Linked DNA regions of Mus musculus. The protein of the gene in region 1 purifies or fractionates together with the protein of each later gene. This does not show direct contact. Links are inferred from orthologs where the notes say so. Each region holds a gene or a part of one and is shown on either strand. Other genes may lie near its edges. The genes, in order: Stk40 and Trib1.

Region 1 (3,809 bases):
TGAAATAGCATGGTATTTCCTTCTCTTTTCTATTTCCTTTCCCTGCATAGCTGCTGTGTTTGCAGGTTGCCTGCCCTGGGGTTTAAATTTTAAAGAGGAGGGGCTGCCCATAAAGTGGAGGAACAACATGTGCCTTCTGGGATGCTCCAGGAGGAGAGCGAAAGGCGCTTGTATCCTGTGCCACTGTATTTGACATTTGCCATGGTGAGGACGGACACATGGCCTCGGACACACAAGGCAGTGCTGTGCCACGCCGCTCCATCCCAGCCCCTGGTTTTGGTTTGTTTGTTTTTGTTGTTATTTTTGTTTGTTCGGTTTTTCGAGATGAGGTCTGGCTGTCCTGGAACTCACTTCTATAGACCAGGCTGAACTCAGCTTAGTCCACTTGCCTCTGCCTCCCAAGTTCTGGGATTAAAGGTGTGCACCAAGCCTTGGGTTGTTTGCTTGCTTACTTGTTTTTACAATTTTAATAGGATATACTTCACATACCATAAACTTCTACCTAAGGAAAAGGGAAACTTGCAAAATGGCATCAGAGTGTGGTCCATATTTCTACAGTGATTTATATTACTTCTTATGAGAGTGAAAACCTATGAGACACAGAAGCCTGACTGGAGAGCAGCTGTCTAGGTGGTGAGGTTAGGTTCCTTGGTGTCTGTGTTGGCCCTCTTTTAAGTGTTGGTACAGAGGAACCCTGTCTCAGGAAAAAAAAATTATTTCTATATGAAAATGAAATTACAAGAGAAGTTGAAGCTCCTTGTCTCTGAGCCAGCCCCTTGGGTAATGGCCACGGCTACAGTCCTAACATTGCATGTTGCTGGACGTCTCGCCTGGCTTCTGTCTCACCTCCGACTCAGCAACATTTACTCTCCTGGGCTCTCCCAGGTCATGCTGCTTTCTCTGCCCACCCCTGTTAACTTTTCTCTGAGCTTCAGCTTGTACTGGGGCACCTTTGTGAGCTGTGTCTTCCTCCTCCGCCAGGGCTCTGTCTCCCCCAGAGGCTGGACTTGGAGAATAAGATGTGTTTCTGTCGTAAGACTGCTCCAAACCCCGGCTCCCTGTATTTGCTTGTTCTGAAGCTTAGAGGGAATGGATCTTCAGGAACGTCACAGCCCCACTGACGGGCAGACAGTGGCCCTCTCTCCCTTCTTATCACCCCAGTCTGTCTATCCATCCATCATTTCCTCCTTCCTTCCTTCCTTCCTTCCTTCCTTCCTTCCTTCCTTCCTTCCTTCCTTCCTTTCTTCCTTCCTAACCTCCCTCCCTCCCTCCCTCCATTCATTCAAGAAATAGTATCTTGGAACTAGAGAGATTGCTCAGTGGGTGAGAGCACTTGCTACTGACTCAGTTCTCAATACCACATAGTGGCCCACAACTAAGCTGTAGTTCCAGGGATCCAGTGCCCTCTTCCAGCCTCCACAGGTACCAGACACGCAGGCAAAATACCCATACTATTTAAAAATTTATATTCATTAAGCCAGGCAATGGTGGTACATACCTGTAATCCCAGCACTTGAGAGGAAAAAGCAGGTGGATCTCTGAGTTCAAGGCCAGCCTGATCAATAGAACAAGTTCCAGGACAGCCGTGACTACACAGAGAAATCCTGTATTAAAAAAACAAAGAAGAGGTCTAGAGAGATGGCTCAGCAGTCTGACTACACTTCAGAGGACCTGGACTTAAGTCCTAGCACCCACACGGCAGCTCACAACTGTCTATATTTCCAAGGTCTGACACCCTCACATAGACATACACGCAGGCAAAACATCAGTGCACATAAACAAACAAACAAGTAGAAAAAACAAAAAGTATTCATTTTAAAAAAACATTATTTCGCATTCAATACTTTCAAATGGTTTATTTTTAATTAAAAATAAACAAATTTGAGTTTGAGAGATGGCTCAGCAGTTAAGAGCACTGACTGCTCTTCCAGAGGTCCTGAGTTCAATTCCTAGCAACCACATGGTGGCTCACAACCATCTGTAATGAGATTGCATGCCCTCTTCTGGTGTGTCTGAAGATAGCTATAGTGTATTTATATATAATTAATAAATAAATCTTTTAAAAATAATAAACAAGCCGGGCGGTAGTGGCGCACGCCTTTAATCCCAGCACTTGGGAGACAGAGGCAGGCAAATTTCTGAGTTCGAGGCCAGCCTGGTCTACAAAGTGAATTCCAGGACAGCCAGGACTATACAGAGAAACCCTGTCTCGAAAAACAAAACAAAACAAAACAAAACAAAAATAAATAAAATAATAATAATAAAACAAATTCAAGGTCATCGTTGGCTGCATAGCAAACCTCAGGCCAGTGCTCCTCAGACTCCATGGGCAGGAAGGAAGTCCTAAGCATCATGTCTAAGGGGCCACTTCCCAGGGTCCACAGCCCATCACTTCTTGGAGATGGCCTAGGAGGAAGCACCTCCTCCTCACAGTCTGAGTATTGGGGGTGGGGGCCACTTTGAGAACAGCTACTCAGGGCTGGGGATGGATTGCCTACCCTGTTTTTGTAGAGGTTCTTCTTCAGCACCCACACAGAGTCCGTTGCCTCCCTCTGACACCTTTCAGCAGATTCCCCTCCCCTCCCTTCCTTGGCAACCAACTGTGTCTACTGCCTTCAAGGACATCTGCTGTTGGTGTGTGGTGACTCTCAAGTCAAGGAGTTGTGATTCTTTTGTCTTCGGGAGCCTTGGCTGCTCCTTCTGGTGGGGAGGTGGTGGCTGCAGCAGCCATGTGATGTATCCATAAGTTAGTCTGGGCTCGAGTCAGGAACACTGTTGATTTACTCAACAGAAAGGTTCTTTTCTGTCTTGTTTAGAACTGAGAATGAAGCGGAGAGCATCAGACAGAGGAGCTGGGGAGACGTCCGCCAACGCCAAGGCTCTAGGAACTGGCATTGCTGGAAATAACGCAAAGAGAGCAGGACCGTTCGTCCTGGGTAAGCTCTAGCCTTGGATTGTGGCCAGGGAACAGCAGCCAAGTCTCTGACCTACACACAACAGAGTGAGGTGCCCACCAGGGCTGTGGTCACTCCATGGCAAAAGTTGTCAATTTTTTGTCAGTACACCAGCTTTATAAGAGCCAGATTCTGACTTCCCTTCCCTGAGAATATGAACCTCAGAACATGGACAAGCTCACAGAAGCACATGGCTACATTAGAACACATGACTCGCCATGTAAGGCACTATTTGACTTTCTCGAATGAAATGACTGATTTCAGTGTTTTTGTATAGTATTTCCCTGAGCCTCCTGTATTTATTTCGTTTTAGAGAAGGGTATTTTAAGACAGGATCTATGTTGACCAGGCTGGCCTTGAAGTCACAGAGTTCTGCCTGCCTCTGCCTCTACCTCCCAAGTGCTAGGATTAGAGGCATACCCTGGACTTTTTGTTTGTTTGTTTGTTTTTTGTTTTTTGAGACAGGGTTTCTCTGTATAGCCCTGGCTGTCCTGGAACTCACTCTATAGACCAGGCTGACCTCGTACCCTGGGCTTCTTATAGAATAGTATAGAAATTGGTTGGATTGAATGTTTCTAGGAGGCCTAAGAGCAGCAGGGTATTCTTGATGGTATCTGAGGCCCAGCCAGTCCAGGCTGTTGATGGCCAAAGCTGCAGATAGTATGGGCTCTGGCACCAGGGCCTTAGTAGGACTTTTGTTTTAGGGCAGCCTTTGTTTAGAGGCACAGCCTAGTTCCAACTTCAGACACCCAGAAAATAGCTCGTAATGGTGCCTGCTACTAGCAGATAGCCCTGTGCTGATTGTGGGGGTGTGGAGGTGAACAGTGACAAGGGTGGACCGCTTCCGCCCTCGCA
Region 2 (3,909 bases), on another chromosome or scaffold:
CTCAATTTAAGTCTCCTAATCCCCAGCGCCTAACTAACCCTTGGAGATGCTTAATTAGCGTTTGTTGAATGACTGGAGAATTAATGATGAAAAGGATTTATTCTTGGGTTTGACCTGGTTTTAGAAAATTAATTATTCAGCATAATTGCAAGAAAGGATTTTGATAATAGGCATCTATGCTAAGTGAGGATCCAGAGACTCCAAACTGACCTGGTTTGCGAAAGAAGTGGGGGGGGGGGGGACCAAACAAAACCCAGCAACACAAAATGTGACTGCAAGCTGTTTCCAGGGAGCAAGGTCAGCCAGTTTCAAGAGCACACAACTCAAACTATATGAAAGTATACATGCGACCTTGTCCGCGTGCAGATGGTATCCCTGGCAGTGAATAGAATGACCCGTACCCCAGTATCCAATACTCCTGGCCGCACTGGCGCCCTAGACCCTCGGGCGCGCATTGCAGGCGGGAGGGGACAGGAATCTGGCGCCAGCCACGTGGGCCCCTTCCGCCAGTTCCCCACATCCTTTGTTTCCCACCGGCCGGAGCTCAGGAAGCTCTTTCGGCGAGTCACCGCGAAGGGGCGGCCCAGGAGCTTGGAGAGGCTATTTCCGTGCAATCCGGGCGGGCGGCAGGCGCGGGAGGGGCGTGGAGGTGGAGGCAGAGCAGAAGGCCCAGTGTTTGCTTTTATTTCATCCAACAGAAGGTTCTATTTGTGGAAGCGAACAGACGCTGGGGATTAGAGTTGGGAGGGGGCAGGAAAAGAGGGGAAGAAAAAAAAAGCCACATTCACTACCACGCACAGGTCTTCCCCGGAACTACCGCGTGGGGGTGAATGACTGATAATGGAATTCATCACCTTTCCTCTCGCCCCTTCCTCCGGCTGCAGCCGCGACTCGACGGCGCCCACAGCTCCACCGGGAGCTCCCCAAAGTGCAGAACGGCGGGGAGGGGGGGACCCACTAGGATAAAGGCGTGACCACTGGGTCTCAGCCAGCTGCCGGTGCGCAGCCAGGAGGTGCGCGCGCGGCCGCCGGGAGCTCGGTGCTCCATTGTGTTGTGTGAATGATGCGCGCGCACCAATCAGCGGTCGTTTCGCCCCTGCTGCCCCGCCCCTCCCGCCCACTTCCCCGGGAACCTGACGTCACGGGAGCTTTGCCTCCGCCCCCTCCCTGGGCTACGGGCCCGCGGGCCTGCGGTGGGGCGCGCGCAGCCTGCTGCCCAGCCCAACCCGGGGGGCGTGTGCGCGCGCCCAAGGCGTCCCAGGACGTTCCCACCTGCGCCTCGGCGCGCGCGGTCAGGAGCATCCCCAGGCCTCCAGCCACCCCTTACAGTTCCAGCCTCCAACTCCACCTCCCCTCCCCCCTAGTCTCCTCCCTCCGCTCCGGTGACTGCAAGCCGGGCGACGGGGCCGGAGTCGTCGCAGCCACCTCATTGCACAACCCGGCTTCCCAACTGTTTACACAGCCCGGGCTGTGAGTGTGTGTGTGTATACAGCGTGAGTCACCGGGAGGCGGAGGAGGTGGAGGAAAAGGAGAAGGAGTGCACTGGCCGGGATCAGTGCGGCACACACACTCATAGTCGGTCACTCTCTCTCTCTCTCCTGGAGCGCGTCTCGCTCGCTCACACGCCTGGAGCCCAGGAGCGCGCAGGATTCCGAGCGGCGCGGAAAAGTTGTACCGGCTTTTACGCCAGACTAATTGCTTTGGGAAGTGCGTTTGCTCGGAGAAGCCGAGGAGCCTGTGGAATCCTGTCCTCGAGGCTCAACACCCGGGAACTCGGGCCGTCTCCACGTCCCGGACTATCCACAGCCTCGGCAACAATAGCGGCGGCCACCGCCAACGAGGCGCCCAGACCTGGTGCCTGTGGGGGTCTGGAGACCTTAGCCGGCCTCCCACCCTTGGACGCGTGGCCAACGTGGTTCTGGTGGACAACGCCAGCGTCCTGGAACGGCTCCTCTTGGGGACCGATCCAAGCTCTATCTGCAAACTCCATCCCGCCGACTGGAAGAAGTCACAGCGCAGATCCAGGGATTTACAAAGCCGGGGCCGCTCCGGCCAGGGCCGCGATGCGGGTCGGTCCCGTGCGTTTTGCCCTGAGCGGCGCCTCGCAGCCCCGCGGTCCGGGTCTACTGTTTCCGGCTGCCCGGGGAACCCCGGCCAAACGCCTGCTGGACACGGACGACGCGGGGGCAGTGGCGGCCAAGTGTCCGCGCCTCTCTGAGTGCTCGAGTCCCCCCGACTACCTCAGTCCCCCTGGCTCGCCCTGCAGCCCTCAGCCTCCGCCCTCCACGCAGGGGACCGGCGGCAGCTGTGTGAGCTCACCCGGGCCCAGCCGAATCGCCGACTACCTGCTGCTACCCCTAGCTGAGCGCGAGCATGTGTCCCGGGCACTGTGCATCCACACCGGCCGCGAGCTGCGCTGCAAGGTAAGCATCCTGGGGCGGAGGTTGCGGGTCTGGATCGTCCACAGAAGTGCCTAGGTTCCGGCCCACCGGGATCACAGTCCCGCCAGCGCTTGGGTTTGGCAGAGCAGATAAGGGCGTTTAGTTGGATAAGGAGGGTATTTTGGTCAGCTTCGTGTTTTTGGAGGTTGAGTGCTTTCCTGTGGAGTGTTTTTTGGTGAGGGTTAGGCGGTCTAGAGGAAGTGCAGGGTTCAGTTCTTTTATCTCTGTTCTTTTCTTTGGCGCTCTGTATTGCTAGCGCGTGGCGTTCCATTTAAGTTTGGAATTGCAATGGGTTCCAGGGCCATGCCATTGCCCTGCTCTCATCCCCCTCCTCCCCCTGTCCTGGAAGGACGCCCTGCAGTGTGTGCCTCCTCGGGACTTGGAGCAACTGGCAAGCTCTTTGCGCGAGGCTCGCGGCATGGGTTCTGTATAGACCAAGTCGGGCTTCTTTTTACCTAGGGGTTTCTGGGCTTGAACTCCTGTTGGGACCAGCATACAGCCCACCCCAGGAAGTGTTGGGATGGGGTGGTCTTAAGCGTGGGAAGGCTTCTGGCCAGCATCGGAGTATTGGAAAACTTCCAGAGGCTCGCTTCCACTTGCTTTAGTTTGAGCCGGCGATTTTCATTGCAACATTAACAGGAGTACAACTAGATACAGGATGGCCGGTCTGGGAGAGCGCGTAGCCCAGGACTGCTTCGCAGTGTGCTCTTCGTGAGCCGGACACCCCATCTCTGGGCCATTGAGAGCCCCACTGACTCCTTTCATTCTCCTGCAGTTAAAAGTGGCATCTGGGTTTCCAACAACTCACCTGAAAGCCCCCCTCCGCCCCCCCCCCCCCCCAACGTGAGCGCCCCACCTCTCCGTTTGCTGCTGCCACCTACTGTCCACTCTCGTGAAATCTCTGATGCGTGGTCAAGCACAGAGAGAAACTCTTTCTTCTTGGTGGATGAGAACAGTTTTGGGAGAGAAACGGATGGGGCGGGAGGAGAAGGCAGCAGATATATATTTTTTTCCCAAGTTGGTACTAGAGCAGCCACCTCAGAGGTGGGGTTGGTCTGGGTCATTGTGCAACCCCTTCCAGTTCCTCTGAGCAGATAATAGCCGAATCCAGATGGTGACAGCCCGTGTGTCACCATTTCCAGTTGCGTCTAGGATATGAGTAACCGGGCTGAACAAAAGGCCCTTAAAGAGACCAGCCAGCTTCTTAGAGGATTTGCTACCCGTTCTGGGGAGGGGGGCCAACCAGGGTGGATGGGGGTCGAGGAAACAAACAGGAAAAAAGAGAAGACCTATAGAGGTGCCTATCCTCTCCTGTAAGAAGGTAACTACAGGCTGCTTCCACCTGAGTCTCAGCCATAGGCAGGCTGCATAAGGCCGCTTTGTCAGTCTCTCCTTCCAAGTCATCAGTTCCTTCTGACTAATGACAGCTCTGCGTGTTTGCTGCCTCAGCTTCCCGTGGAGGCTGCAA

What was found.
Region 2: the proteins of Stk40 (region 1) and Trib1 purify together in Homo sapiens (affinity purification with mass spectrometry; 3 studies listed by BioGRID and IntAct, counting the BioPlex papers as one, with this or other methods). This does not show direct contact. The link is inferred for Mus musculus from reciprocal best matches to the Homo sapiens genes STK40 and TRIB1.

The regions. Positions count from the first base shown.
Region 1 is NC_000070.6:126,120,900-126,124,708, forward strand, and holds part of Stk40 (serine/threonine-protein kinase 40), read left to right. Parts: intron 1-2,816; coding exon of another isoform or gene 2,817-2,824; coding exon 2,825-2,936; intron 2,937-3,809. UniProt on the Homo sapiens protein: May be a negative regulator of NF-kappa-B and p53-mediated gene transcription.
Region 2 is NC_000081.6:59,647,100-59,651,008, forward strand, and holds the start of Trib1 (tribbles homolog 1), read left to right. Parts: upstream 1-1,554; 5' UTR 1,555-2,063; coding exon 2,064-2,423; intron 2,424-3,909. UniProt on the Homo sapiens protein: Adapter protein involved in protein degradation by interacting with COP1 ubiquitin ligase. The COP1-binding motif is masked by autoinhibitory interactions with the protein kinase domain.